7 linked regions of the Oryctolagus cuniculus genome follow. The protein of the gene in region 5 interacts with the protein of the main gene of each other region in a pairwise test. Links are inferred from orthologs where the notes say so. Each region holds a gene or a part of one and is shown on either strand. Other genes may lie near its edges.

Evidence for each region.
Region 1: the proteins of HOXA1 (region 5) and RGS17 interact in binary tests that used the Homo sapiens proteins (3 or more experiments, as listed by UniProt). The two-hybrid records come from large-scale screens. The link is inferred for Oryctolagus cuniculus from reciprocal best matches to the Homo sapiens genes HOXA1 and RGS17.
Region 2: the proteins of HOXA1 (region 5) and TRIM42 interact in binary tests that used the Homo sapiens proteins (3 or more experiments, as listed by UniProt). The two-hybrid records come from large-scale screens. The link is inferred for Oryctolagus cuniculus from reciprocal best matches to the Homo sapiens genes HOXA1 and TRIM42.
Region 3: the proteins of HOXA1 (region 5) and RGS20 interact in binary tests that used the Homo sapiens proteins (3 or more experiments, as listed by UniProt). The two-hybrid records come from large-scale screens. The link is inferred for Oryctolagus cuniculus from reciprocal best matches to the Homo sapiens genes HOXA1 and RGS20.
Region 4: the proteins of HOXA1 (region 5) and CHIC2 interact in binary tests that used the Homo sapiens proteins (3 or more experiments, as listed by UniProt). The two-hybrid records come from large-scale screens. The link is inferred for Oryctolagus cuniculus from reciprocal best matches to the Homo sapiens genes HOXA1 and CHIC2.
Region 6: the proteins of HOXA1 (region 5) and EFEMP2 interact in a two-hybrid assay, tested with the Homo sapiens proteins (2 studies listed by BioGRID and IntAct). The link is inferred for Oryctolagus cuniculus from reciprocal best matches to the Homo sapiens genes HOXA1 and EFEMP2.
Region 7: the proteins of HOXA1 (region 5) and NELL2 interact in binary tests that used the Homo sapiens proteins (3 or more experiments, as listed by UniProt). The link is inferred for Oryctolagus cuniculus from reciprocal best matches to the Homo sapiens genes HOXA1 and NELL2.

What each region holds. Positions count from the first base shown.
Region 1 is NC_091436.1:14,661,907-14,666,218, reverse strand, and holds the start of RGS17 (regulator of G-protein signaling 17), read right to left. Parts: upstream 2,935-4,312; 5' UTR 2,768-2,934; coding exon 2,760-2,767; intron 1-2,759. UniProt on the Homo sapiens protein: Regulates G protein-coupled receptor signaling cascades, including signaling via muscarinic acetylcholine receptor CHRM2 and dopamine receptor DRD2.
Region 2 is NC_091435.1:141,098,022-141,101,696, reverse strand, and holds part of TRIM42 (tripartite motif-containing protein 42), read left to right. Parts: intron 1-765; coding exon 766-1,586; intron 1,587-3,675.
Region 3 is NC_091437.1:78,796,891-78,800,565, forward strand, and holds part of RGS20 (regulator of G-protein signaling 20), read left to right. Parts: intron 1-3,419; coding exon 3,420-3,654; intron 3,655-3,675. UniProt on the Homo sapiens protein: Inhibits signal transduction by increasing the GTPase activity of G protein alpha subunits thereby driving them into their inactive GDP-bound form.
Region 4 is NC_091439.1:110,032,876-110,037,136, reverse strand, and holds the start of CHIC2 (cysteine-rich hydrophobic domain-containing protein 2), read right to left. Parts: upstream 2,888-4,261; 5' UTR 2,797-2,887; coding exon of another isoform or gene 2,765-2,796; 5' UTR 2,571-2,764; coding exon 2,452-2,570; intron 1-2,451.
Region 5 is NC_091447.1:18,724,157-18,727,526, reverse strand, and holds HOXA1 (homeobox protein Hox-A1), read left to right. Parts: upstream 1-1,220; coding exon 1,221-1,878; intron 1,879-2,365; coding exon 2,366-2,721; downstream 2,722-3,370. UniProt on the Homo sapiens protein: Sequence-specific transcription factor. Regulates multiple developmental processes including brainstem, inner and outer ear, abducens nerve and cardiovascular development and morphogenesis as well as cognition and behavior.
Region 6 is NC_091432.1:5,896,439-5,900,821, forward strand, and holds the start of EFEMP2 (EGF-containing fibulin-like extracellular matrix protein 2), read left to right. Parts: upstream 1-1,453; 5' UTR 1,454-1,625; intron 1,626-1,896; 5' UTR 1,897-1,897; coding exon 1,898-2,008; intron 2,009-2,224; coding exon 2,225-2,273; intron 2,274-2,763; coding exon 2,764-2,970; intron 2,971-3,418; coding exon 3,419-3,541; intron 3,542-3,840; coding exon 3,841-3,957; intron 3,958-4,073; coding exon 4,074-4,193; intron 4,194-4,383. UniProt on the Homo sapiens protein: Plays a crucial role in elastic fiber formation in tissue, and in the formation of ultrastructural connections between elastic laminae and smooth muscle cells in the aorta, therefore participates in terminal differentiation and maturation of smooth muscle cell (SMC) and in the mechanical properties and wall integrity maintenance of the aorta.
Region 7 is NC_091440.1:135,861,147-135,865,413, reverse strand, and holds the start of NELL2 (protein kinase C-binding protein NELL2), read left to right. Parts: upstream 1-1,425; 5' UTR 1,426-1,767; coding exon 1,768-1,790; intron 1,791-1,953; exon of another isoform or gene 1,954-2,067; intron 2,068-2,073; exon of another isoform or gene 2,074-2,092; intron 2,093-2,108; exon of another isoform or gene 2,109-2,443; coding exon 2,444-2,529; intron 2,530-2,853; coding exon 2,854-2,985; intron 2,986-4,267. UniProt on the Homo sapiens protein: Plays multiple roles in neural tissues, regulates neuronal proliferation, survival, differentiation, polarization, as well as axon guidance and synaptic functions.

The sequences.
Region 1 (4,312 bases), on a different chromosome or scaffold from region 5:
AGCTAATCATTTTGTATTCTGAGTGCAGCCTTCCTACTTGTTACTTGACTTTCTTGTCTCACTGACACCTCCACCTGTGTTCAGCAGTACGCATCCTTTTCTCCTGAATATTTGCCAATGATTATGCAGGCAGGCCAGCAGTTCCCCACTCTCACCCCATGAATACAGACAGGAATCACACACAAATACGTGCATACAGTTCCACACAGATCATCTTTTCAAAATATTAAACTCTGCAGTGTATAAAGGACTTCTCTATCTTTGGGGTTTAAAAGTAATACATGCATAACTTTCAACTAAATCCATAATTAATATAAATACAGGTGAGTCATTAGACCCGGAGATTACTTAAAAGTAATTTCATCAAAAAGATTTCAACAGTGAAAACTGACGTTATTGTACATTAGCAGATGAAGAAAACATGGCTCTAATGGCTTGAATCAAGATTACAGACATTATTTATTCATAAACTAGCACAGATATGACAAGCAAGGCAGTTAATCCATGACTACCAGAAGAGAATAAAACAGCAGAGATTTTTTTTTCCTGACAGATTGAACATGAGTTCATGATATATTATAAATTATGGAGAAATGTACATATTCTAAGATAAATATAATGACAAACACCAATTTTTGTATGAGAACTATCTATACTCCTTTCTTCTCACATATCTATTTACAAATTCTATTGATACTGTTGATAAAATAAAAAGGGAGATCAAATATCAAGCTTCATTCTAACACTAGTTAGGAAAAATGTTAACACTGCAATTCATGTGGAGTATTGACTACTACACTTCACAATATAGCATTCAGTCAGTCACACCAGTTTGTAGATTATGTAAATCACTGTATTATTTTTTAAATAGTGTTGCATAGCATAGTACCCTCAAAAGAGACACTCATTTTTCTTTGTTTTTATCTGGTAAGTCTTGGTCATACTAAACATACAGGTCACAAATGCCATACGGTAGAGCTGAGAGGAAATAAATTGAAAAAGAAACAGGTTCAAACCTCAAAGTGGCTCACATGGTTATTCATTAACAGCCCAGTCAAAGGTGTAATGACAAGCATGTTAAATTTAGTGGCTTACATGTGGGTTTAGCACACCTTCAAGATAATTCATTCCTGATGTCAACGTCTTTCATCACCATAGACAGGCAACATAAATGTACATTCATAACATATTGTTAGGGAGGATTTGATGACTTTACTCAGATTCTATGAATGATACTAAATCTTCCTGGATTAGAGTAAACCTAGTTGCTGGGTTTAGAATTCACCCTAGTGATTTCAACAAGCTGATGTTGAAGATGAGTTCATCTTTCCAAAATCAAGTTTTTTATATATATATGTGTGTGTGTATATATATATATATATATATCAGATATATGTATATATCTGAAAAGAGTATCCAGGCCTTTTGGCCAGTGTAGTGTATTATCACAAGATTACTATGAAAGATAGTAGCACAGAAGCAAAACATGAACCCTAAGGAAGGGCATGGCTGTGACTTCTTCTGTCTCCATTGCACATGCCCTACCACCACCATTTTCATCTGCCTTGACTCATATTATGATCACCACCCACGGAAGCCTTTAAGTGAGAGGAAAAGCACAGTACAGTTGCACGCAGACATTCCCTTTACATTAATGACAGTGAAGTGTGGTTCTCCCAATTTGTAACTTCCCAAAAGTCCTAAGCCTCCAGTCTTTAGCTGTTTTGATGTTCTAATGGAGGTTGTTAAGTCTCTCACCAGCAGATCCACTGCCTGTTGCCTTCTTTCTCTGAGCCTCTGCTTTGCAGCCTGCTTGCACTTGAGAGGTAGAGGCTCCTAAATTTTGAGGTTAATTCCCCTAAATTGCTAAACCCTAGAGAAATGTTGTATTTAATTATGACTTCTAAGGTTAGCATAACTAGATAAAAGCAAAGTAATAATATGTTGAAGAAGCTTATATGTGAACTCCTTATAGAAAGGGTTCATGTTTAATTGACCATTGCATTCAAAAGTCATACCATAGAGCCTAACACAGAGCAGGTACTCAAAAACATTCATTCACGAATGTTCATTTAACTGGTTTCTTCGTCTACTCAGGAAAGGATAACACAGAACACATGGACAGCAACTTCAACATTAATAAGGACCCATTCATTAAGACAAACACCAGCAATTAACTAAAATCTCAAGTATTTATTCTCTAAACAATGTTTATTATATTTATTTTATTTAGCTCAACATAGTGTCAAAAACATGCATAGTTACTGTCAATATATGAAGGATTTTTATAAACAACTTCATTTCATTCTTAAACACTTTTGGGTTTTAAAGGTAATGAGACCAATGGTCAAAGAATTGAAGAAAACCTTTGGTTATTTTAATCCAAAACTTGATCTCTGTCTACCAAATTACATTCTTTGCTTTAAAAGTCTCTTTCTTTGAAGGGCAATTATCCACACGCTTTTTCACATTGTCTAATTAATCCTGTGGACTGCAGCTTCTCACATAGCAGACTGGCAAATATTTGTTGATTTTGGTTAACTGAATCCTGAAAACATAAAACCATCGAGAGAAAAAAGGAGACATGGAGTGGTCTTCTTAGAGACAAAACTGATTCTTAAAATCTCCAAAGTAGATCACTGCCCAAAATAAGCCCCAAACGTTCAAGATTGAAAATAAAGTATTGTCAGCTTTCAGAAAAGAATTTTTCCTAATGTAACTCCCAATGAGAAGCACTGCAGAACAAAGTCAACACTTACCTGCTCATTTCATGTATGTCATGATTCCCCTTGGGTTGTGTCTGTTTTACTGCAATGCTACAGCTCTTAAATTCTAACCAGTATATTCAATAACCAATCAGCAGTACTATGAAAAGGCCATGTGACCCAATATAAGGAAGTAAATATTTGCTTTGTGAACCCATACTCATTGTCTATAATAAAATTACATCTATTGACACAAAGATTTAAAAGAAAACTTCACCTACAAGGTGTAAGACAGAGAGATTTCAGATGTTCATTGCTCATGTTAGAATTCCTATTATGAAATATTTAGTTTTCTTGAGAAATCCTATATATCTAGTAAATAGCAGAGTAACTTTTCAAATCCCGTTGTCTTTGAAATGAGATATTATTTTCCACCACAGCTTACTGATCTTCCTATAGGGACTTCCCACTCACTGTAAGTTCTGCATTCATTGAATCTGAATACCTGAAATAGTACCATATTTAAGAAACTGGAACCTCCAATGATTATAAAATTTTACACTCGCTAGGTAGTTTCATACCTAAGGGACTTCATAGGTTTTCCAAGTTAATTAAGCTTGGAAACCAAATTTGTCAAATGTTATAGAGTTTAAAAAGTCAAAATCAGGAGCTTAAAAGACCACTGAATCATGTGAAGCATTGCAAACACAAAATTCTTATATTTTAAATATTTGATGTCACATATGCATTAAAATTTGAGGTAGGATATAATATTAATTTCACAGTTTCATAATTAATAGATGCAACTGTGATGAGATATCTCAATTAATGTCTCAAAAAGTTCTCCCTGTACTCCCATCTTTTCTCTCAACGCCCTTCATCTTAGGAAACTTGGACTCCTGTAACAATGGCAACAAACGGAAACAACCCATGGAAACCTGGGTAATCTTCACATACAAACTTGACCCTTCTAAAGGAATTGTACAAGTTGGAAAGTGTAGGCATAGTAGCAATACATTATGAATACCACGGCAGTCCTGATCCCTTGGCAGATGCATTTCCAGCCCTTCTGATTTAGACAAAGTGATCTCTGTTTTCTTTCACACTAAGCATTTCCTTTCCTTGTTTACTTTAAAAATTAACACACAAATAAGAAAAATATATGAGAACACCAATAGACACCTAGACAAGAGTTCTGAATAAGCCATCTTCAAAGACAGGAAAACAATTGCTTATAGGCATGTCTAAAGGCAACCTGAGGGACGCAGCACTGTGGCATAGTGGGTAAGGCCGCTGCCTGCAGTGCCTGCATCTTATATGGGTGCCAGTTCAAGACCCAGCTTCTCAACTTCCAATCCAGCTCTCTGCTATGGCCTGGGAAAGCAGGGGAGGATGGCTGAAGTTCTTGAGCCCCTGCATCTGCCTGGGACGACCCAGAGGAAGCTCCTGGCTTCAGATTGGCACACGTCTGGCCAATGCAGCCACTGAGGAGTGAACCAACCAATGGAAAACCTCTCTCTCTCTCTGCCTCTCCTTCCCTCTCTAGGTAACTCAGGTAACTCTGACTTTCAAATAAATAAATCTTAAAAAAAAAAAAAAAGCCATCT
Region 2 (3,675 bases), on a different chromosome or scaffold from region 5:
CAGCACCCTCCAGCCATCGTATGGTTGGGTTTGTGAGTGCCTTGAGCATAAGTACACTTCATACTCATGTCTGTATTCCTAGTGCCCGGAAAGGCCTGCGGTGTGCAGCACGGCTCTGGGGAATGTTTGCTGAATGACTAACTGTGTGAACTTAAAATTGAAGTGCCATGGGACAGGGTGCAGGATGGATTGGTTCCCCGTGGAGTGTGACTGCAGACGCTTTCTTGAAAGGGAGAGGCGAAAAGACAGGAGAGGGAACAGCGCTGACCACGAGAGAGACAAAGGCTGCTATGCAGGACCACGGGTGTGCAAGAGGGCCCCCATGAGGGAACACTTTGCCGATTTCCCACTGCTGTCTGAGGCTGGATTCTGGGTGAATGAGGCAAGGCAGCATGTAGAAGGGGTCATCAGTAATGTACTTCTGTCTTCCACCACTGCAAAAGCCCACCTTCCTGCAGGAAAAACAGGGCCCTGGCCTAGATGACTTTGCCTCTTCTCAAGTCCAGCCTGCAGACAGGGCAAGTGTGGCAGGAACCAGAGGGATTGCCTTCACCAGCTGGGGCTAGGTCAGGGAGGACGGCTCCTGACACCTGGGGGAGGTGAGAGGGAGGGGCGTTCTGAGGGAGGCCACGTTCAGCCCAGCTGGGGGTGCCTGCCCTCCGTCCACTCACTCCCTCGGAGGCCAGTGCCGTTTAAGGGTTTGCTGTGGCTTTGGCATCTGGGGAGAGGAAGCTTCTAACAGTAAGCAACTTGGTTGTTTTGCAGTCCGATATGAAATCGATAATGACCTCATGGAGTTCAACATTCTGAAAAACAGTTTTAAAGCGGATAAGGAGGCAAAGCGGAAAGAGATCAGAAGCGGGTTTCTGAAGCTGCGCAGCATTCTGCAGGAGAAAGAGAAGAGCATCATGGAGCAGATCGAGAATCTAGAAGTGTCCAGGCAGAAGGAGATCGAGAAGTACGTCCACGTCACCACCCTGAAGGTGAACGAGATGGATGGCCTGATAGCCTACTCCAAGGAAGCCCTGAAGGAGACGGGCCAAGTGGCCTTCTTACAGTCGGCCAAGATCCTGGTGGACCAGATCGAGGACGGCATCCAGAGCACCTACCGGCCCGACCCACACCTGCGGCTGCACTCCATGCACTGCATGCCCTTGGACTTCGCCGAGCTCTCCAGCGCCATTCACGAGCTCTTCCCCACGGGACCCAAGAAGGTGTGTTCCTCCGGAGACTCACTGCCCACCCCCTACCCCATGCACTCGGAGATGATGATCGCCAGGAAGGTCACGTTCAGCACCCACAGCTTCGGCAACCAACAGATATACCAGCGGAGCTCCTCCTTGCTGTCCTTCAGCGCCGCTGGTGAGAAGGCCAAGGGGGGTCTGGAGGCCTACGGGAGGACCCAGTCGGCCGCGCCTGCCAAGCCCCCCGATGGGCTGTACACCTACTGGAGTGCCACAGCCGACAGCCAGCCTGCACAGAACTGCAACAGCTTCCACAACTGGTACTCGTTCAACGACACCTCTGTGAAAACCCCAGGCCCAATTGTTATCTACCAGACTCTGGTGTATCCAAGAGCCGCTAAGGTAAAAAAAAAAAAAAAAAAAAAAAAAAGGCTCTGGGCCCTGTGGGGAAGGTGGGAGGTTGTGGGGTCCAGAGTGGAGGTGGGTAAGCAGGGGAGGTTGTTTGACCTCTGGGTTCTGGCTACTCAGACCTGCTTCTCTCGTGTCTTTGGGGGTCAGCCTGTTCAAAAGGATTGAGTTCTGAAATCTTAAATAACCCAAGGTTGGCTTAAACCAAAGAGTCAAGGTATATTTAAAGCATGGCCGGAAATAAAACTGAGAGCCTGACCCCCACTCCCAGGCAGTTTCTCTACTGACAGAGAACTCCTGTTGGGAACCAGAGTAGTTTAAGGCGACGGCTGGCAGAAGGTGGTATTACCTGAGGGATGGTCTGTTACAGGGCACAGAAATGGGAATCAGGAATGCAGGCCCCTTTGCCCATGAACTTGGGTATTTCAAATTGGCTGCCTTTCCTAAAGAAACTATCATTGTTGTTATTGATTATTCTTATTAGAAGAATACTGGATATTCCAATATTGAAAAATCTAATAATCTTATTGGAAGAATAATCACCAACGGAATGCCAGTTCTTATCTCCTGAGATCTATCCTTGTTTGCAGAGCGGGGGTGGGGCTAGAGAGTGGGGTGTCTCACAGATCTCTACAACTGCCACCAGTGGGCCTCATGGGAATGACACCCTCAACCCAACATGGACAAGCGTCACGTGCCTTTCAAATATGCTTGTAGGATACTTTATTAAGCCCCATGGAAGCAAGAGATGAATATGTGACTCAGTACTGGACAGAGGTGTATCTTGCCTCCTCCTGAGCTTCATCACAGGCACCTCCCAGGCCAGCCTGTGTGGCTGAGCCCATCTCTTGCCCAATTCTCTGAGATACTCTCAAAGACTCTGGGCTTCCTTGACATCTGAACCAAGGCTTCTCAACACTCCCGTGTGCCCGGGGATGTTGTTAAAGCACAGACTCTGCTTCACTGGTTGCAGGGGGGCCTGACACATACCACTGTGTTTCTCACAAGCGTCCAGGTGTTGCCACTGCTGCCATCTGCAGCCCATACTGCAATATTGGGTTATCTAAATGGAGGAAAGTGAAGGTCTGCCACAGACCAGGCATCAATAAATAAAACATGTATTATGAAAAAGCGATGCATGGATTTCAAAATACTTTGCAACAGAATAGACATCTTTCATTCCATTTTCCATGAAGTTTTTGAAATTCCATTGTGAGTTTCAACACGCAGATTATGATGTCTCAGAAGTACGGAAAAGTACAAGGGGACTTCAAACAGAGAAATGAGAAGATTGAAGTTTATTTTGCTGCAAAAAAATTTGAAATCTGTGCAGTTTTTTCATAATGTCCATTTCCCATGGAGGTTTTGAAGACCTCTCGGATGACTGACACTAAGAATGACCACATTATGTAACATTATGTAACATGGCCTCCCATGGCCTAGAGACATGGTAGTCCCCACCCTTCACAGGAGGGACGCCCATCACTCAGCAGCCGAACTCATCTCCAAGGGCTACTGCATGAGCAAGACCTACAGTGTATGCGCCATTGGGTAGGCAGTGGGTGTCACCTGCACATTCACTCAGACCTCTTGCAAAATTGGCAGGAGTTTAGCCTGCGGTGTAAGTACTGGTGGTCCCTGCTCCATAACTGGGCTTGGGGAACAGTCACCCCACGCCACCTATTGGTCATCCCCAGGGAAGCTCCAGAAATGGGCTTCCATAGAACAACCAGGCAAGGGTGGCAGTGGAGAGAGAGATCACCTAAACCTGCCACCAGACAATGGCAGTCCTTGTGAAGCCATCACTGATCCGTATTTTAGGGCCACAGAATGGACTTTGCACAGGCATCATAGTGTTGTGTCACACAGGAGATTAAATCTCTGTTAACATCTCTGTCAAATCTTTAGAACATTGGCATCAGAAATATTCTTTTTTTTTAACTTTTATTTAATGAATATAAATTTCCAAAGTACAGCTTATGGATTGCAATGGCTCCCCCCTCCATAACTTCCCTCCCACCCGCAACCCTCCCCTTTCCCTCTCCATCCCCCCTTCCATTCACATCAAGATTCAGTTTCAATT
Region 3 (3,675 bases), on a different chromosome or scaffold from region 5:
CAAAAAGGAGGACCAGTCATTTCTGAACTAAATGTCCAAATTAAGAATATGCACAAAGAAAGTAGGAAGGAGGTAGAAATATATAAACACAGAAATTAATGAAATAAAAAACAGATACAATGGAAATGACCAAGGCAAAAGCTGATTCTTTAAAACAAATTTATAATAATTTATAGTAGGGCCTCCTTTGCTATGAGTGGCCAAAAAAAGAAATATAATGAAATAATATTAGGAATTAAAATGGAAATATAATAACTACCCAGCAGAAATTAGTAGGATGATAACACTGGGAACAGATTATGCCAATGAACATGGTGATTTAGACACTACACTTTGAGCGAATTCTTAAACAGGGAGAAAATAATAAAACTCATGCAAGAATAAATCAAAGGTCAAACTAGTTGTATGACTATCAAGCTGTATCAACAATGAATAACATTCGATTTCAGTTTGCCTGGACTTCCATAACAAAATACCAAAACCTGGGTAGCATACAACAGTTTATTATTTCACAGTTTCTGAGAACAGCAGTCCAAAAGCAACGGGTCAGTAGGGCCACACTTTCTCTATACTTTGACAACTCTAGGGGAGAATCCCTCCAGGCCTCTTCTAGCTTCTGGTAGTTGCCAGCAGCTCTTGGATTCTCTGGCCTGTAGACTTCACTCCAGTCACGTGGCTATCCTCTCTTTGTGTCTGCTTATTTTCCCTACAAGTGTCTGTATCTGTGTTCAAGTTTCCCTTTTTTATGAAAATACCAGTCATACTGGATGAAGTCTCACCCTAATGACCTCATCTGAAGAAAACAAAACAAAACAAAACAAAACAAACAAAAAAACAAGATTTATTTATTTATTTGAAAGTCAGAGAGAAGGAGAGGCAGAGAGAGAGAGGTCTTCCATCTGCTAGTTCACTCCCCAGCTGGCCATAATGGCCAGAGCTGCACTGATCCGAAGCCAGGAGCCAGGAGCTTCTTCTGAGTCTCCCATGTGCGTGCAGGGGCCCAAGGACTTGGGCTATCTTCTACTGCTTTCCCGGGCCTAGCAGAGAATTGGATCGGAAGTGGAACATCTGGGACTCAAACTGGCGCCCCTATGGGATTCTGGCACTGCAGGCAGCGGCTTTACCCGCTACGCCACAGTGCTAGCCCCAGTGACCTCATCTTAATGTAGTTAAATCTACAAATGTCATGTCCTGAGGTACTAGGAGTTAGAATTTCAACATATGTTTTGGAGAGACACAGTTCAACCCACAGAATTTTTCTACAGAGGCTGGCATTGTGGCATAGCAGGTAAAGCTGCCTCCTGCTGTGCGGGCATCCCATATGGGCACTGGTTGGTGTCTCTGACTTTCAAAACAAATGAATAAATCTTTAAAAACAAAATCTTTCTATAGATTCAAAACTGGACCCAGATGGTTTTATAGGCAAATTTTACAAAAAATTTCTTTTTTTTTAAAGATTGTATTTATTTATTTGAGAGGTAGAGTTAAAGACAGACAGAAAGGTCTTCTACCAGTGCTTCACTCCCCAAATGGCCACAACAGCCAGAGCTGGGCCAATCAGAAGCCAGGAGCTTCTTCCAGGTCTCCCATGCAGGTGCATGGGCCCACGTACTTAGGCCATCTTCTACTGCTTTCCCAGGCCATAGTAAAGTGCTGAACCAGAAAAGGAGCAGCTGGGATAGAACCAGTGCCCATATTGGATGCCAGCACCATAGGCAGAGGTTTTAGCCCATTACACCACAGCGCTGGCCCCATCTACAAAACACTTCAAGAGTAGATAATATGGGGCTGGCGATGTGGCACAGTGGGTTAACACCCTGGCCTGAAGCGCTGGCATCCCATATGGGTGCCAGTTCGAGTCCCAGCTGCTCCTCTTCAGATCCAGCTCTCTGCTATGGCCTGGGACAACAGTGGAAGATGGCCCAAGTCCTTGGGACCCTGCACCCACATGGGAGACCTTGAAGAAGCTCCTGGCTCCTGACTTCGGATCGGTGCAGCTCCGGCCATTGAGACTGTCTGGGAGTGAATCAACAGAAGGAAGACCTCTCTCTCTGTCTCTACCTCTCTCCATAACTCTGTCTTTCAAATAAGTAAATCTTAAAAAAAAAAAAAAAAGAGTAGATAATATGGGTATTCAGCTCCCATATAACTACTCAGAAATCTAAGAGGACAGTTTAACAGTGGAACTACAACTTGATGAGGATAGTTCAAGAATGTAAAGTTAGAGGTGAATCCTACTCACCCATGACCTAGGTGAATCCAACAACACTTAGAAACATAATGTTGGGTAAAGAATAACCAAGTCGCAAAAAGGACAACATACACCATTTTTATATAGTTAAAAAAAAAAACCTAAGGAGTACATCCCTCAGGACACATACATATGAAAACTATGGGGGGGGGGGGACAAAGGAAAGAGATATTAAGGATCATTATTAACTCAAAAAGGTTTAGCCCCCAGATCAAGTGTAATAGAGTTGGGGCAGGTCATGGGGCGACAGGTTGCATGGAGAAATAGCAGCTATGTCAGTGATGTCTTGGTTCTTAAGGTAAATTGGTACATTCACAAGTGTTCACTTTGTCACCCTTCATTATTTGCATTTATATTACAAACATTCATTCCTCTTTCTCAAATATTACATAAATTTTAAAAATGTGTTAAAAAGACACTGTTCCAGCCGGCGCCGCGGCTCACTAGGCTAATCCTCTGCCTTGCGGCACCGGCACACTGGGTTCTAGTCCCGGTTGCCCCTCTTCCAGGCCAACTCTCTCTGTGGCCAGGGAGTGCAGTGGAGGATGGCCCAGGTGCTTGGGCCCTGCACCCCATGGGAGACCAGGATAAGCACCTGGCTCCTGCCATCGGAACAGCGCGGTGCGGCGGCCATTAGAGGGTGAACCAATGGCAAAAGGAAGACCTTTCTCTCTCTGTCTCTCTCTCACTGTCCACTCTGCCTGTCAGAAAAAAGAAAAAAAAAAAAAAAAAAAAGAAAGACACTGTTCCATTGTTGTTCTCCATGTTGAGCATTGCTAAATCTGTCTGAGTTCTGTTGTAGGTGACTAGGGAGTTTGGGGTCTGATGGTTGGGATGTTTTTTTCTTTACTATTGTAATTTGAAATTATTGCCAGAATGTGTCCAGATGTAAGAAATATGTTCTTAGCAGTTATTCTAACAACTGGTTTGTAAGCATTTGGGCAGTCACCATGCAGCCAAGCTAAACAGTTTGAAGATGTGAACTTGTATGGTTTGGCCAAAAGTTTGAGGAAATGAGAATAGCTCTTTCCCTTCCCTTCCAAAAGGGTCAAGTTCACATATTTTTCATTATCAGAGAGGGAGGGGAAGGTAGATTTCTGGTGATGCAGCTCAGGTTCACTACCAATAATAGGTCTCTTGTGCCTCCTTTCTTTTGGTCCCCTTCAAGCCCGAGTCCTACGCTGGAGGAAGTCAATGCCTGGGCTCAGTCCTTCGACAACTTGATGGTCACCCCAGCAGGCAGAAACGCCTTCCGGGAGTTCCTCCGCACAGAATTCAGTGAGGAAAACATGCTTTTCTGGCTGGCCTGTGAAGAACTGAAAAAAGAAACGAATAAAAACATTATTGAAGAGAAAGCAAGGATAATATATGAAGACTACATTTCCATTTTGTCTCCTAAAGAGGTGTGTGCACATGCAAGGGTC
Region 4 (4,261 bases), on a different chromosome or scaffold from region 5:
GCTGCAGCCCCGCACACCTCCTAGTCCTGCTTCCGGACAGTGCCCATCCTGGGAGGCAGCCAGGGACGGCTGAGGGCCACGTGGGAGACCCCGGCTGAGCCCCCAGCTCCCGTTTCTGTCTGGCCCATCCTTGGTTATGGTGGGCGCCGGGGAGAGAAACAGCAGATGGAAGACGGACAGCCTGCTCTCTGGCTCTGCCTTTCAAACAATAAAAATGCCAGGAAGCGTTTTAAAAGGGGAGACCGCGACGTCCCCCTCTGATGGAAGAGGCAGAGGTAACTGGCTCAAGCAGCAGCAGAGGCAGGGCGGGTGTTTCCCACAGCAGTTAGGACCCCACTGGGACACGTGCCATCCCTCCAGTGCGCCTGCGTTCGAATGCCAGTTCTGCCCGTTCCAGCTCCCTGGTAACGCACACCCTGGGAGGTGGCAGGTGATGGCTCAGGTACCTGGGTCCCTGCCACCCATGAGCAAACCTCAGAGTGAGGCCCCAGCTCCTGGCTTCAGCTCAGCCCAGCCGGGCTCTGGCTATTGGTGGCATCTGGGGAGTGAACTAGCAGATGGGAGATCATTGTCTCTACCTTTCAAACAAAGACAAGAACAGATTCAAGTTTCTACAAAAACATTTATATACACTAATTAAAAAAAAAAAAGGTGGGGGGAGGTGGGCAGAGACCCCCCAGAGCCTGGAACCAAGGTGGCTGGGGTGGGGGGTGGCTGAGGAAAGCCCAGACACGCAGTCCAGGGCAGACAGGCGTGGTGTCGACCGGAGGCAGAGCGCCGGACATCCACAACGGCGCTTTCAATGCGGTCCCACCTGAGACCGGCGCGTGGCGTTCTGCTGGGACCCTAACACACCTGGTCTTCAACCGCGGCCAAGGCCTGAGTAGGTCTCCAAAGCTCCCCAGCTTCTTCTAAGGGCATCTGAGTTGGAAACCTTGAGTGACAGTTCTTCTCTACCTGTAACCTCACTAAGCAGCCAACTACAGTCAAGTTCACTGCTCGCCCACGGGGTGCTCAGCCTTCCTTCTCCTTAGACGGGAACAAACATTACAACCACACCTGCACCTTACTAAACAAAATCCTGCCGACTTTTTAAACGTTTGTTTATTTGAGAGGCAGAGAGGCAGAGAGAGAGAGAGAGAGAGAGACCTTCCATCCACTGGCTCACTCCCTGAATGGCCTCAATGGCGGGAGGAGGGCGAGGCGGAGCCCAGGGACCTGGAAGTCTATCCAGGTCTCCCAGGCGGGTGGGTCATCCTCTGCCGCTTTCCCAGGCTGGGAGCTGGGGGGGGGGGGGGGGGGAGGCAGCTGGGACTCCCCTGCACTCGGGCAGGAGACCCTGCTGTGCCACACACCTGCAGGAACGCGTGGGCAGCCTGGGAATCCCTGTCGCAGCACTCCTACACTCTTGGGTTCAGGACAGTGCGAAAGGCCCTAGGAGTCAAACTAGACCACAGGTTCCGAGCCTGACAGCCAGCGATGGCCGCTGCTGCTTCACCTCGGCGAGATCCGACGGCATCCCCACCTGGGCGGGTGACGACAGTGAAACCCGCGGGGACAGCGCCACCCGCGTCACCTGGACCTAACCCGCCAGGTGCTCCAGGATCCAGCGCCTTACTCAGCTGCCCGGCGCTCGGCAACGTGGCTGCGGGCTCAGGCGTGGAGAAGCGCGGGCTCCTAAGTCCTCCAGGGCACGGCCCACGCACCTTCCAGCCGGACACAGGGAGGCTGCTGCGGGCCGTCTCGCCCCGGTCAGGGGCAGCCGCTCCCTGACCTCCCCGACAGAGCGGGCCGCTCCAAGTTGCACCAAACTCCCGACTTCCTGCTTCCGGCTGGCGCAGGATTCGGTTCCAGGCTCCACATTCCCTTATCAGCCACGACCTTTCGGAAAGCCCTCTCGTTCCGGACTTCCAGCGTCGACGGCAGCGCTCACGGGACTCAGCAAACGCAGACCCCGGCGCGGGGTGCACGCCCCGGGGGCCAGGAACTCTCGGCTCGCCCGCACCGGGTGACCCCGCGCAGATGCCTGCAAAGTGCATCGCGAACACGCGCGATCCTGCTGCTCTTCGCTGGGTACTCCGACATCCGACACGACGCCGGCCGGGCGCGGGTGCGACACGCACACGCGCAGCGCGGACCCCGGGGTCTCCCAGGGCCCGCACCCGGCCTCCGGCCGTGTCACCGGGCGCGCAGGCTCCCAGGCACCCAGGCACCCGCACTTCCTCCCCGAGGCGCAGGCCCCCACCCACCCCCGCCCCGACCCCGAGAACAGCCTCGCCTGCGGGGACCCCGCACCTGGCCCAGGCCTCTCGGCGGGGCCTGCGGGCACGGAGGGCAGCGCCCGGCCCCGCTCCTCGCCCTCGGCCGGCCCACACCCGGCCAGCCCTCACTTCCTGGTCGCGCGCCCCTCCCCGGGCCCCGGGCCGGCCGCGCCGCCCCCTCGGGCCTTACACGGTGACGTGACCGGAGCCGCGGACCACCACCGGGTCCGGCGAGTACTTGAGCAGCTGCTCCTCCAGGGCCCGCTCCTCGTCCTCCTCCTCCTCGTAGATCTCGTCGAAATCCGCCATCCTGCGCTTCCGCGCCCCCCGCCCAGGGGGGCCTGACTCCGGGGCCGGCGCCCGCTGCGGGCGGCCCGGCGGTGGGGGCTGAGGGGAGTCGCCGCCGCCGCCGCCGCCGCCGGCCCAGAGGCCGCGGAGTTCGCGCCCGGCTGTGTCGGCGCCGGCTACACACGGGAAGGGGTCCGGGCCGCCGCCGCCATTACCGTCCGCAGCAACAACAACACAGTGTCAACATCCGCCCGGCCGCCGCCACCTCCACCGGCGCCGCCGCCGCAACTCAGGCAACCACAGCAACAGCCCGAGCCGCCCGCAGCGGGAGCAGCCGGCCGCGCATCGCGAGACTTCCCGGGAGCGCGGGCGTGGGCCGGCGCGCGCGCTCTCGGCCGCCGCCCTCCGCGCCGCGCCGTGGGCCGCGCGCTCCCGCCGGCGCGGCCCCGCCGGCGCGGCCCCGCCCTCGGCCCGTGGGGCGCGGGAGCGGCCGAGCGTGGGGCCGGCGCGGCGAAGCACTCGGGCCTCGCGCCCGCTCGTCGTCGACGGCGAGACCCGCGCTGGGCCCCTTCCGCGCGTGACGAGGGGAGCGGTTTTTTGTGATGCGTGGCGCGGACGAGCGCTTCCGTCCACTTCGCCACGGGTTTTGCCGGAACACAGCCCCGGCCCTTTGTCCTCCGGCGTGGTCCAGTCCGTGAGGCGGACGACTGCCGATGGGTTTCTCACAAGAAATCTCGGCGTCGTGGTGCCCGGAAACAAAACAGGATTCAAAAAGGCAGCCCCTGCGCCCCTCCCCAGCCAGAGCGGACCCCGGGGGAGCCCCGCTGCCAGAGGGTCCTGGCCGGAGGGCCCAGGGCGGGGCGCTGCGGCCGAGGGTGCCTGTGTCCCCTGTCCACTCCCAGCCAGCAGGGTGGGCTCCTGAGGAGGGGCCAGGCAGTGGGGGGAAGGGGTCGTGCTGGGTTCAGGGCTGGGTCCTGGCCGGAGAGCCGAGGGTCCCTGTGTCCCCTGTCCACTCCCGGCCGGCCCGGGGCAGGTGAGCTCCTGAGGAGGGGCCAGGCAGTGGGGGGAAGGGGTCGTGCTGGGTTCATTGCCGGGTCCTGGCCCACGTGCAGGGCCGTGCGGTCGGCCAGAAGCGCCCAGCCGGCTCCTTTGGGCAGTGATGGAGGGCACGGCCCGGCTGGCCCAAGACCCCGGGTGTGCCCAGTGCCGGGCTGTGTGAATGACAGCGCCCCTCCTGCCAGCAGCTCACGGTTAAGGCAAGCAGGCATCCTGGCCAGCCCAGTGCTGGCACCCAGGAGGTCCCTCGGGAATCTGGAGTGGGGGTTCCGGGGCCTGGCTTTGAGTCTCAGCCTGGGGGGCCCTGGCCGAGCCACTCAGGCGCTCTGTTCTCAGGGTGTGTGTCCACTGGGCTGCTGGCATACTCAGTTCCTGGCTTAGCACACAGGAAGCTCTCGGATGAGGACACGCAGTGGATACGGGGTGAGGGCACTGCTTTGTCAGGCCGCACCCAGCTCAGCGGCTCTGCCAGTCACTGTCTGCACTATGAGGCTGTCAGTGTTTATAGAGTGTGAGTGTGTGTGTGTGTGTGTGTGTGTAATATATATAGATAGATTCCGTCCCCCCCCCCCAAGAACCCTGTAAGGGAAGCGAGGAGGGTGGGCGTGCTCCTCGCTTTCTGGAATACCTGGGATACCTTTCATGGCCACCTGACA
Region 5 (3,370 bases):
GAAAAGAGGAACGTGGCGGGGGCCGTGGAGCGGACTTTGTGCAAGCTGCGGCCGGGCGTTGGAGGCCCGCGCCGAAGCGCGCAGGCTCCTGGGTTGAGGCGCCGGCAGATGGCCTGCCGCGCACGGCCCGGCCCCCGCGCCCGCCACGTCTGCCAGCGTCATCTCTCCCCCGCCTCCCACCCCTCAAAATCCTGCGGCCCAGCGTCTGGGGATCCCGGAGGGTTCCCTGGGCCAGACTAAGCGGGGAGGAGAAAGGGGCGGAGAGCGAGGGGAGAGGGAGGGCGACCGAGAGCCCCGACACCCCCGGCCTTTTCCGGCGAGCTCAACCGCCCCCGGGAGTCGAATTACAGGAGCTCCTCATTGCCATGCTAATGGCGAACCGGGGTTGGGGGGAGAGGGCTGCGGACTCCCTCTGTGGAAAAGGGAAGTTTCTTTTCTCGCCCTCGTGCGCTCCACGCCCACCTGGTTCCTCCCAGCCAGCCCTCCGCGCCCTTCCTTCGCCGTCCGGAGCTGGCAAAGCCAGCGGCCAGCCTCGCCCTGCGTCACCGTCTTCTGAGCGCCTCACAGCCCTACGGCCTCACGCAGGGACAGTGCGGCGGAGGCGCCCCGGGCGCCGGGGGCGTTTGGTCGCCGGATTCCCACCCTTCCGGCTCTGTACGCTCGGGGGCTCTGCCGCACTTGCGGCCACCCAGCGAGCTCCAGCCCACTGATTCCCGCCCCAGGAGAGCCGGGAGCCCTCTTCCCTTCTCACCTCTTGCCAGTTCCTCTTCCCGACGATGCTGGGAGGGGGCGGGGGGCGGGGGTGCCTCCCAGCCCCCACCTCCCGGAGGGGGAGGGCGCGCGGACTCGGGCGCGCGCAGAAGGCAGCCTCCGCTCCCCTTCGCCCCAGGGCTGTGAAGCTGCAGTTGCAGCCGCCGCAGCTTCTGCCGCCTCCTGAGCTGCCTGGGGGGGCGACTGCGCGTCACCTAGACGGAGGAGCGCCGGGGACTTAAATGCCACTGAAACGGTGATCCATCACCGCCGGAGCCGGCAAACTTTCGCAGGAGGCTCAGCCATTGGCTGGCCCAGTCACGTGCGCCTCCCCTGGCGCCCTCCGCCCTCGCGCCCCCCCTCTTGCGCACTGTACATTCATATCATTTTTCTTCTTCGGCCTCATGGAGGAAGTGAGAAAGTTGGCACGGTCACCCAGGGCTTCGCAGGACCCGGTCACTCAGTGACAGATGGACAATGCAAGGATGAGCTCTTTCCTGGAATACCCCATCCTTAGCAGTGGCGACTCGGGGACCTGCTCTGCGCGAACCTACTCCTCGGACCATGGGATTACAACTTTCCAGTCGTGCGCAGTCAGTGCCAACAGCTGCGGCGGCGACGACCGGTTCCTAGTGGGTAGGGGGGTGCAGATCAGCTCGCCCCACCACCACCACCACCACCACCATCACCACCACCATCCTCAGCCGGCCACTTACCAGACTTCTGGGAACCTGGGGGTGTCTTACTCCCACTCGAGTTGTGGTCCAAGCTACGGTGCGCAGAACTTCGGTGCGCCTTACAGTCCCTACGGGTTAAATCAGGAAGCAGACGTAAGTGGTGGGTACCCCCCGTGCGCTCCCGCTGTTTACTCTGGAAACCTCTCATCTCCCATGGTTCAGCATCACCACCACCACCAGGGTTATGCCGGGGGCACGGTGGGCTCGCCTCAGTACATTCACCACTCATACGGACAAGAGCACCAGAGCCTGGCCCTGGCCACGTATAATAATCCCCTGTCCCCTCTCCACGCCAGCCACCAAGAAGCCTGTCGCTCCCCCGCTTTGGAAACGTCTTCTCCAGCACAGACCTTTGACTGGATGAAAGTCAAAAGAAACCCTCCCAAAACAGGTCAGTTCTGCCGGCCAGTGGACGCGCCTTGATGAATCTGGAAGGAGTTGGTGTGCTTGGTTCCCAAGGAAAATTAAGAATGATTTTTCGAAAAAGGGGTTCTTGCTTCCAACTAGTGTTGTAGGGCATGGGGACGCTGCCCAGGTGTGTCGGGGCTCAGCAGTCTCTGTGTTTACAAAGGGGCTAGGGTCTAAATGTTCTGAAAATAGGAAGAGAGTGTGTGTGTGTGTGTGTGTGTGTGGCTGGGTGTTGGTGTTGGAGGCGTCCTGTTAATATCTCCAGGCTCCATTAATCACCAGCCTGACCACGCTAATGCTTGACTTCAGCTTAATGCCCCATTGCTCACCCTCCCCAACCCGCTTGAGAAGTTCTTGATTTTATCCTTTACCTGAAGGTTGCTCTGAAGAGTGTGGGGGGGGGGAGGGGGTCTCATCGATTTTTAACATTTTTTAACCTTTTCTTCTCTTGGCTCCTTACGCTACCCCAGGGAAAGTTGGCGAGTACGGCTACGTGGGTCAGCCCAACTCGGTGCGCACCAACTTCACCACCAAGCAGCTCACGGAGCTGGAGAAGGAGTTCCACTTCAACAAGTACCTGACGCGCGCGCGCAGGGTGGAGATCGCCGCGTCCCTGCAGCTCAATGAGACCCAGGTGAAGATCTGGTTCCAGAACCGCCGGATGAAGCAGAAGAAACGTGAGAAGGAGGGGCTCCTGCCCATCTCTCCAGCCACTCCCCCGGGAAGCGAAGAGAAGGCAGAGGAATCCTCCGAGAAGTCCAGTTCCTCGCCCTGCGTTCCTTCCCCGGGGTCTTCTACCTCCGACACTCTGCCTACCTCTCACTGAGGCCGCCCCGGCCCCCGCAGCCCAGCCTCCTTCTTGGACCAGGGCTTTTCCCCTAAAGCACATTCTTAGCTTATCTCGCTTTCCATTTACAGTCCCTCTCTTCCTTTCTGATCCTATCTGGAGAGCTCCTGGCCAGGACAATGGGTTTCCAGGGAATTCTGGACGGGAGACATCCAGATTGGGTGCCCACATCAGTTCGTGTGGGCTGCTGACATCTCTCCCTACTTGGAGGAGGTCTTCACAGACCTTGCTCCTTTCAGTTGCCCTTTGGAAAATAATTCCCTTTTGCCAGCAGAAACATGCCAGAGAGAGGCCTCGCTTCTTTTTATCTAACTGCGTATTCACAGTTCTTCCCTACCTTGCCCTTAAAAGTAGGATATATAGAGAGAGTTCAGGAGTCTATGAAGAAGAGGTGCACTAGGAGTGTGTTTACACAGTTCATTCATTCCTTAATTTAATTCAGTTTCCTGTGTGTGAGTTTGCTGGTTGTAAATACTTTGTCCTGAGAGATTTATCTTTATACAGATTTTCTAGAAATGTTTTAGATTAGATGACTAAAACAGACAGGGTGGGCAAACTCTCACAACTGGTACAATTTTATATGTGGTTATAGGTGATGGGATACTTCCAACCCAATCGGATGCCTCCC
Region 6 (4,383 bases), on a different chromosome or scaffold from region 5:
GAGTGCAAGGTGTCCAAGGCTCAGCCCCCTGGCAGCCTGTGTCGGGCTGGGTTCCTGCTCACGCCTGGACAACCCTCCACGTGGGGGTGTGCTACCCACTGGTTGACTGACCCTGGTGGGGTTGCTGCTACATTCCAGCGCTCTGAAGCCCGCAGCGCGGTGCTGCTATGAGCAGACTTTCGGTGAGTAGCTGTCGCCCGTCCAGTCTCTGGGGAGGGGCGGGTGTGTACCTTTCGCCCGTCCGGTCTCCCGGGGCGGGTGTGTACCTGTCGCCCGTCTAGTCTCCCGGGCGCATACCTGGGAGCGAACCTGCCTGGTAACATCTGGGGACACAGCCGGATGATGTTAGCAGCTGCAGCCTAGGAGGGCTGCGAGTTCTCCGCACCCTCGCCAACACTCGTGAACGCTTGGTTTTCAAGAATTCGGACTTCGGGCTTTCTTGCCCCAGCCCCTGGGCAGGTGGTAGGAATGCATCAGCCTGAGCCCCACCGGGTCAGTTGGGGGCGATCGGGGGGTCAAGCAGGGATGGGGAAGGGACGGGAAGACCCGACTGTTCCCTCTCGCAGCCTGCGGGGTGCCGGGAGCCCTGCACACGCGGCCCTTTCCCGTCTGGCCCAGCCCTGAGACGTGGGCAGCGCGAAGCCCCGCCCCTTCCTGGGAGTCGAACCCTCCCGGGCTCCGCCCCGGCCACGCCCTCCGCTGGGGGAGGGGTCGGAAGCCGAGTGGGGGGCGCGGGCGAGAGGAGGGTCGCGAAGGCGTTGGCACCGGAGCCTGGCGTCCCTGGCCCCCGAGTGCACCCTGTCCCTGCTTCGCGGGGGCCTGCCATTCATTTGGGGCCAAAAGGGACCTGCGCCCCCGCCCCCGACCTCGGCTTGGAGGGCTGAGCGCGGGGGCGGGGGAGGCCGTGCAGGAGCGCAGGGACCACCTGGCGGGAGATGGCGGGGCGGGGGGGGGGGTAGAAGGGAGAGATGGGCAGCTCTGCTCCCGGGACCCGGGAGCGTCTCGTGCCGGGGCGAGGGTCGGGGGCCCGGGGTGAAGTTTTGGGGACGTCTGGAGTGACGGTCTGGGGGCACAGAATACAATTCTGGGGGGGTCGAGTGAGGGGATGGAGGCCCCAGGGCTGGGTGGGGCCTCGGATCCTACCTTCGGGGAGGCTCAGAATGAGGGTCTGGGGGTGCGGGACTGAGCAGTGGGTGCGCAGAAAGGAATTCTGCGCGCGTAGGTAGCAGCCAGGTGCGCGGGATGACGTTTCTGATGAGGGCCTGCCCCCCCCCCCGAGTGAGTCTGGGGGCTTGGCATCCAGGTCCATGGCACCACGATCGAGCGCTGGGGGACCCTGGCCCGGCGCCGGGAGGCGGCTCCGGGAGGCGCCGCGGGGGACCGGGCGGGGGCCTGCGGCCGCCGGCCGGGGGCGGAGAAGCGGGGGGTCGGGGTCCCTCCCCCTGGCGCGGGCTCAGGAATCCGCCGAAGGGCGGGCGGAGGCGCCGGGGTGGGCCGCACCGCGGCGGGCGGGCGGGCGGGGGGCGCTTCCTGGGGCCGCGCGTCCAGGGAGCTGCGCCGTCCGCCCGTCCGTCCGCCCGCAGGCACTGTTGGAGCCGCCGGAGCCGCGGGGGCGTCGCGGCCGAGTGAGTGGCGGCCCGTGGGAGGGGGGCGCGGGCCGGAGTCTCGGCAGAGTCGGCGGCCGCCGGGCCGAGAGGCCCGCACCGCCAGGGAACCGGGCGGGGGCGGAGTGGGCCCGGAACCCGGGCCTACGAAACGAGTGGGCCCCGGGTCCTGCGGGGCTGCAGGGCCCCAGGCTCGGACCTGAGCCGGAGCTGGCGGGGCCGGGGCCCGGTGCGGGGGGATGGGGCGGCCGTGGCAGAGGCCCCTGACCCGCCCGCCCCCTCCCGGCCGCAGGATGCTCCCCTTCGCCTCCTGCCTCCCTGGGTCTCTGCTGCTCTGGGCGCTGCTGCTGCTGCTCTTGGGGGCAGCGTCACCGCAGGACTCCGAGGAACCGGACAGCTACACGGTGGGGACAGCGGGGGCGGGTGGCCTACCACTGGGAGACCAGGGTCCCCGGAGGCTGTTCTTGGGGGAGATTCGCCCCCCCAGCCCGGCCGGTAGAGCAGCTGGGGGCCGTTGTTTGGAACAGACTGGGAGGGTGGCCCAGGCTCAGGCCCTGCTATTGGCCTGGCCAGTTGGAGGGGACCCTGGGTGACCACTGCAGCCTCCGGTTTCCTTCCAGGAATGCACCGATGGCTATGAGTGGGACCCAGACAGCCAGCACTGCCGGGGTGAGTGTGACAGGGGGACCAGCCCCCCAGGAGCAGGGACCAGAGCCCAGGGGGCCTGTGCTCTACCCAGCCCAGCAGGGCAGGGCGGCCCCTCCCTCTCCAAGAACCCCGGTAACCCTGTCCCCCCCCCCCGGGGTAGATGGGAGAGCCACTGGGGGAGCCCCGGAGCAGCTGGTCCCATGGAAGGCTTTGCCCCATCGCAACCTGGGAGGGCGGTGTCCACGGGGGGGGGGGGGGCTGCAGATCACTGCCCGGCTGAGCCAGGGCCAGGACCCCCTTGGAGGCAGCGTGGGGGCAGCAGTGGCAACCCCTTCCCCACTTCCAGCCTGTGGCGGGGCCGTGTGGAGGGGAGGGGTCCTGGGTACACCAGGCTGCCTCAGCTTGTGGAGCTCAGGGAGGGCCAAGCGGGCTCCTGCCTCGCCCCCCCCGCCCCGCCCGGGGCCGGCCCCCCTCCCGGGACCGGCTGTGCCGAGCAGGCCGCCTCCCGCAGATGTGAATGAGTGCCTGACCATCCCCGAGGCCTGCAAGGGCGAGATGAAGTGCATCAATCACTACGGGGGCTACCTGTGTCTGCCGCGCTCCGCTTCCGTCATCAACGACCTGCACGGCGAGGGCCCCCCGCCGCCTGTGCCCCCCGCTCAGCACCCCAACTCCTGCCCGCCAGGCTATGAGCCCGACGAACAGGAGAGCTGCGTGGGTGAGTCCCTCTGGGCCCGGGCGTCCCATGCTGTCGCCACGCTTCTCGCAACTTGGGCTCGCGTTCTTGCGTTGCTCCAAGCCCTTACTGATGGCTCCTGGGGGCCACCAGGGGCTGCCCGGCCCCTCATCCAGGCCCTCGCTGTGTCCGGGGCCAGTCCCAGGGGACCCTCCCCTCACGTGCTGCAGAGACCCTGCAGGAGCCTTGATCTGGACTGCACCCCTGGAAGCCGCGGGCCCTGGCGGGGGGTGTCCTGGGATCAGGGTCGCTGGGGGCTGAGGGTGTGGACAGAGCCTTGTCTCCTGCTGCCTCCCAGGCTGGTGGGCGGGTGGGAGGGGTCTCCTGTGCCCTCGTGGTGGCTTCTGGACTGCGTCCTCCCACGCTGGGTGCCTGCCTCGCCGGATGGCGTGAGCGACCCCAGGCGGAGGCTCAGGGGTGTCTGCTGCAGATGTGGACGAGTGTGCGCAGGCCTTGCACGACTGTCGGCCCAGCCAGGACTGCCACAACCTGCCTGGCTCGTACGAGTGCACCTGCCCGGATGGCTACCGCAAGATCGGGCCGGAGTGTGTGGGTGAGTGCGGCCAGCAGCCTGTCTGTTCCTGAGCCCCCAACTCCAGCCCACCCCCGGGCGTCACCCCAGCCCCCGGCCCCCTCTGCCTTCCTGCCATCAGACACAGAGGACTGCATGGACACCGTGTGTGTGCGCATGCGCATGTGTGTGTGTGTGTGTGCCTGTGCGTGCGTGCGTCCTCTGGCTGGCTGGCCCCGTCCAGCTGCCCAGAGACATCCGGGTCTGTGGGCAGTGAGGCCTCGAGTGGGGGCCCCACTGACTGGCGCCTTCCGCGGCCTCCCTCCCCGCCGCCGTCGCAGACGTTGACGAGTGCCGCTACCGCTACTGCCAGCACCGCTGTGTGAACCTGCCCGGCTCTTTCCGCTGCCAGTGCGAACCGGGCTTCCAGCTGGGGCCCAACAACCGCTCCTGTGTGGGTGAGGCTGGGCCAGGCCGGGCTCCTGGGGCCCCCGGGGCTGGGAGGTATGAGCTGGGGGAGCGCCCTTGGCGGCCAGCCCAGACTGCCCCTCTGCTTTTGTCCCGGCACCCCCAGATGTGAACGAGTGCGACATGGGCGCCCCGTGTGAGCAGCGCTGCTTCAACTCCTACGGGACCTTCCTGTGTCGCTGCCACCAGGGCTACGAGCTGCACCGCGACGGCTTCTCCTGCAGCGGTGAGCTCAGCCCTGCGCGGGCTCCCCCAGCGGCGGCCAGGGTGCCCCCACGTCCCGTCCACTGTGGACGGACGCGCGCCCCTGCAGGGTGCTGCACCCCGGGCTGGCCACAGGGCACTCCCAGCCTGGGACGGAGGACAGAGAGGCTCAGGAGTGCTGGAACGGGGGTCAGGCCGCACAGGGGCAGTCG
Region 7 (4,267 bases), on a different chromosome or scaffold from region 5:
TGCTCTCTTTCCCAGCGTGGCTCCTTGCTTGTGCATCTGGGAAATCAGCAGAAGATGGACCACGTTCTTGGGCCTTTGCTTCCCATATAGGAGACATGGATGGAGTTCCAGGCTCTTGCCTTCAGCCTAGCCTACCCCCAGCTGTTTCCATGAATTGGGAGGTGAACCAGTGGGTGGAATATCTCTTTCTCCTTAGGTTTCTCCCTCTTCCTTTTACTTTGCTTTCAAATAAAAAAATTAATAAAAAGCTGCACAAAGAGAGTCCAATGACACATAGATAACGTGCAAGGCTGGCAGTAGTGGAATGCATTAGGTCACGACCCAGAATGCTGTTGTTCATTCTAGAAGGCGAAGACAGCTCCAACCAGCTGTGCAACCCCAGATTGTCAGAGCTCAGGCTGAAAGCCTCTGCCAGTGACTTGCTTCATTGTGGTTTCCAAACTTCACACTCTGCTCCCTCTGCCCTGGACCCATGTTGTAATTGTTCCATACTTAATTAGGATGAGGAATTATAGGGGCAGGTTCAGCTGGAATAATTTTGGGTACAAAAATACTATCCTTCTGGAGGGAGCATAAGTGTGTGTGGGTGCTGGAGGCAGGCCGACTAACCCTCAGCTCTCAGCATGCTGTGAGCGAGAGAGTTAGTGTTGTTGCTGCAACTCTGCTGTGCTGAAATACACGCACAGTCATTCTCACATGTATATGCATCTGCGTGTCTGTGTACGTTCTCTTATTTTCTCCTGATAGCATTATTTAAACTTCATTTTATGTAATTTATGTAGATGCTCACTTCAGTTTAATATTTTGGATATAGTGTTCCAGAGCCAGCTTTAATTCCCTGGTGAATAATTTCTTTTGAATTAAATTATGTGAATTTTACATGGTGTTGTTTTGCAAACCAGAGAAATTTTATACAGTATTTTATCCTATGTAAGTACTGTAGTATTCCTCAAAGTTTACAAAATTAAAGATAGAATTAAATGGAAAATTTGATATGATTTATCTGTTCATCTATCTGTTCTGTCTAGCTTATCTTCTTGGATTTAACTATCATCCATTTATCTATCATTCATTTGTTTTTCATCTATCTACAATCATTTATCATTCATTTATATCCTTATCAATTATCGATCTAGTCTGCTCCTCATCTATCTACAATCATTTATCTATCATCTGTGTGCATCTAATCTATCTTCTTTCACGTACCTATGTATCTATTAACCATTTATCAATTACCTGTAAATCATCTATCCATCTTCCACTCATTATCTGTGTATCTCCCTTCCTACCTGCCTACTCATTTATCACCTGCCTTTCTACGCATCCACCCTTCTACCCATGTGTCCTAGCTATGTCTAGTCTGCTATTCGCCCTTTTCCGTGTGGGTAGGCGCCCTGCTCATCCCGCTCAGCGAGAGCTAGGCCGGATCCCGGCGTCCGCGGCCTGGGAGCTGTCCAGCGGTTCCTGGCTAAGTTCTGCTCTCAGCACCAGGGAAGCTCTCCAGCGCCCCGCCCTGGGCAGGGGGCCTCTCCGCGAAGGCTCGCCGGGCTTCCCAGTGGTGCCACTGGCCCCCGCCTCGCTCTCTCTTTACTGGGTCTCACCGCCTCGGGCTTCTGCGCTCTCCCCGGAGAAGGTGCCGCGCCCGGGCCGCCCCGGAGCAGAACGCAAGAGCGGTGGACTCCCCGCCCTGGCCGGGGCGGGGAGGGGGGGCACCGCGCATTCTAGCCGCGCCCCTGCGGCTGGTGGCCGGGCCTGTCTGCATGGCTTATGACGCGCAGCCGGAGCGGAGGGTGAGAGCAAGGACCGGCCGGCAACTTGGCACCTAGGGTGTCGATCTACGATCGGAAAGGACCTGGCGTGGCCCGGTCGGCGGGGGCGGGGGGCGGAGGGCGGAGGCTGCCGCGGTTTTGGGCTCGCTGGGCCGGCTCGGAATCCAGGAGCCCGCGCTGGGGAGGATGCACAGCCGGGCCCCCAGCTGTCCTCCCCACCCCTGGCCTCCCGCCTCCTCTCCCCGGGAGTCGGGTCCAGGGCTCCGCGCTCTCTCCATTGTCTCTGCCTCTACTGCAGGTTCGCGCGGCGGCGAAGACGCGCGGTGAGGCCGCCCTCGCCCGGCTCTCTGGGGCGCATCCCTCGCCGCCCAGCGAGCTTTGGGCAGCTTTCACCCGGCTGGGGAGCGAATTCGCCCGCAAGCCCGACCTCCCGAGACCCCTCCCCACCCCCCTCCCAACCGGCGCCGGCGCTGGCGCTGGCGGTGGCGCTGCGTGGGAGCGGCTGTGCGCATTGGAGGGTCCAAGTTCTCCGCGCGCCGGGGGCCTCCCTTTCCTTTCTTAGGCGGCCCAATCGTGTTAATCCCGCTAAACAGTGGATGCGAGGCAGCAGCAGGGGGGCGACGCTTTTCCCGCTGGATTCCGGGAACCTCTTCGGCGTTTCTTTTCTGTTCCAGAGGGAGGCGATGGACTGAGCGGAGCCGCGCCATGGAGTCTCGGGGCTTGCTGAGGACCCTCTGTTGGCTCTGCGCTCTTGGAGCAGGTGCGTGCCGGCCCCGCCGCCGACCGGTTCGGTTCCGGGTGGGGGCTTGGAGCAGGGGCGGGGCAGGTCCGCGTTTTCGGTGCCTGCCCTGGAGATGGCGACGCGGGTCGCGCCCTAGCCCGGGTCTGCGGCCCGGGAACTTTGCGCGGAGCGGGCTGTGCGCTGGGTCTGCGAGATGGGGCCGCGGGCTCGGCTGCTCCCGGCGTGGCTGCTGCTCGCAGGTAGGCGCTGGGCGGCGAGCAGCCGCTCCGAGTCCTGCATCCGGGCGTGCGGCTCCTCTCTTGATGCAGCCTTTTCCTTCTTCCCTCCCCTTCCCCACTCCAGCAGTGTGGGGGCTTGGTGTGGATCCCTCGCTGCAGATTGATGTCCTGACGGAGTTGGAACTGGGGGAGTCCACGGCCGGAGTGCGCCAGGTCCCGGGGCTGCACAATGGGACCAAAGCCTTCCTCTTTCAAGGTAGGGTCGGGCGCTGCGAGCGGGGTCTGGGGAGGGGGCCGGCCTCCGGCTGGCGCTGGTGGGCAGGGGCAGAGGGGTGCAGTCCTGGCTCTGGTGAGGGGGGAGTCGCTGGGCCCTCGCGCCCGGCTCCTACCTCGGTACGCCTAGTGCTGGGGCCAGTGGACAGTCTCTTCAGGACCGGGCGGGAACTCCGTTGGCAGACGTGGGCTTTAGAGCCTGGGGAACAATGGATCGTCGCCGAGAGCCGCGCCGAAGCTGCGGGGGAAGGTAGCGACCCCTGGAAGTTTCAGGTGCGGCGGCGCCCGCGGGCGGGCCGCGCGCCCTGGGTGAGGCCGGGCTCCCGGGCGCGCCATCCTCCTCCTCCGGGTCCTCCGCCGTCTCCCGGAGAGGGAACAGCATGCGCGCAGCGTTACTTTGAGAATCTTTCAAGGAGATGTTAATTTAGGAGTCTCGCTTCTCCCACCCTTGGTTTCGAGTCAGGACTCCAAAACTTGGTTTTGGCCATCAGCTGCGCGCTGTTGTCTAATTTCAAATCGCATTAGGTGTGTATGCAGTCAGTGGCAAATTGGGGCCGCACGGGCGCTCATCATCAGTTTACCAAGGGTTCTGGACTGCTGAATCTGAGCTTCCACCAGGCAGCCAGAGGGCCGTAGGAAGAGGAGCTTCCCAGGGCAGCAGCACAGAGGAAGGCCACGAGAAGCGGAGTTGGGACTCACGCCCGGCGGGTACAGCGTGGGGGCCCACTCACCCAGGTGTTGCTTCTGCGGCTTTGCTTTTGCGGCTTCCCAGGAAGCCGGCTCCTGGTTAGGGAGAGTGGGTGTGCGAAGTAAGGCCCCTGGAGGCAGGCCTGCCGCCAGGAGGAGAGGCAGCCGCCAGTGCTGCTGTTGCCTGCCGCCGCCAGAGTGTGTCACCCCAGCAGCAGCAACTGCTGTGTGTGGCGCTTACCGAGGAAGAGATTACAATGTCAATTTTGTGTTTCCAAAACTTACTTAATGAATGTTTGCATGTGGCATTTGCGATGCCAGTATCTAGTTCAGGGTCTTCTTTGGGAGGGTCGAGCTTGAAGAAAAGTGACCACACCTAATACAGGAAATAAGCCTGGACTTGCAGCAGGATATCAGATGAGCAGAAGTGTCCCTACGGCTAAGCGTTTGTTTTCTGTTGCGTGTTGATTTGTTTTTATCTCTGACTTTTAACCTCTGTGAACTGGAAACAACATGATTCAGGACTACCAGTGTGAGAAGCTGTGATGCTCACGCCCCTGATGACCAGGTGTGTTCCC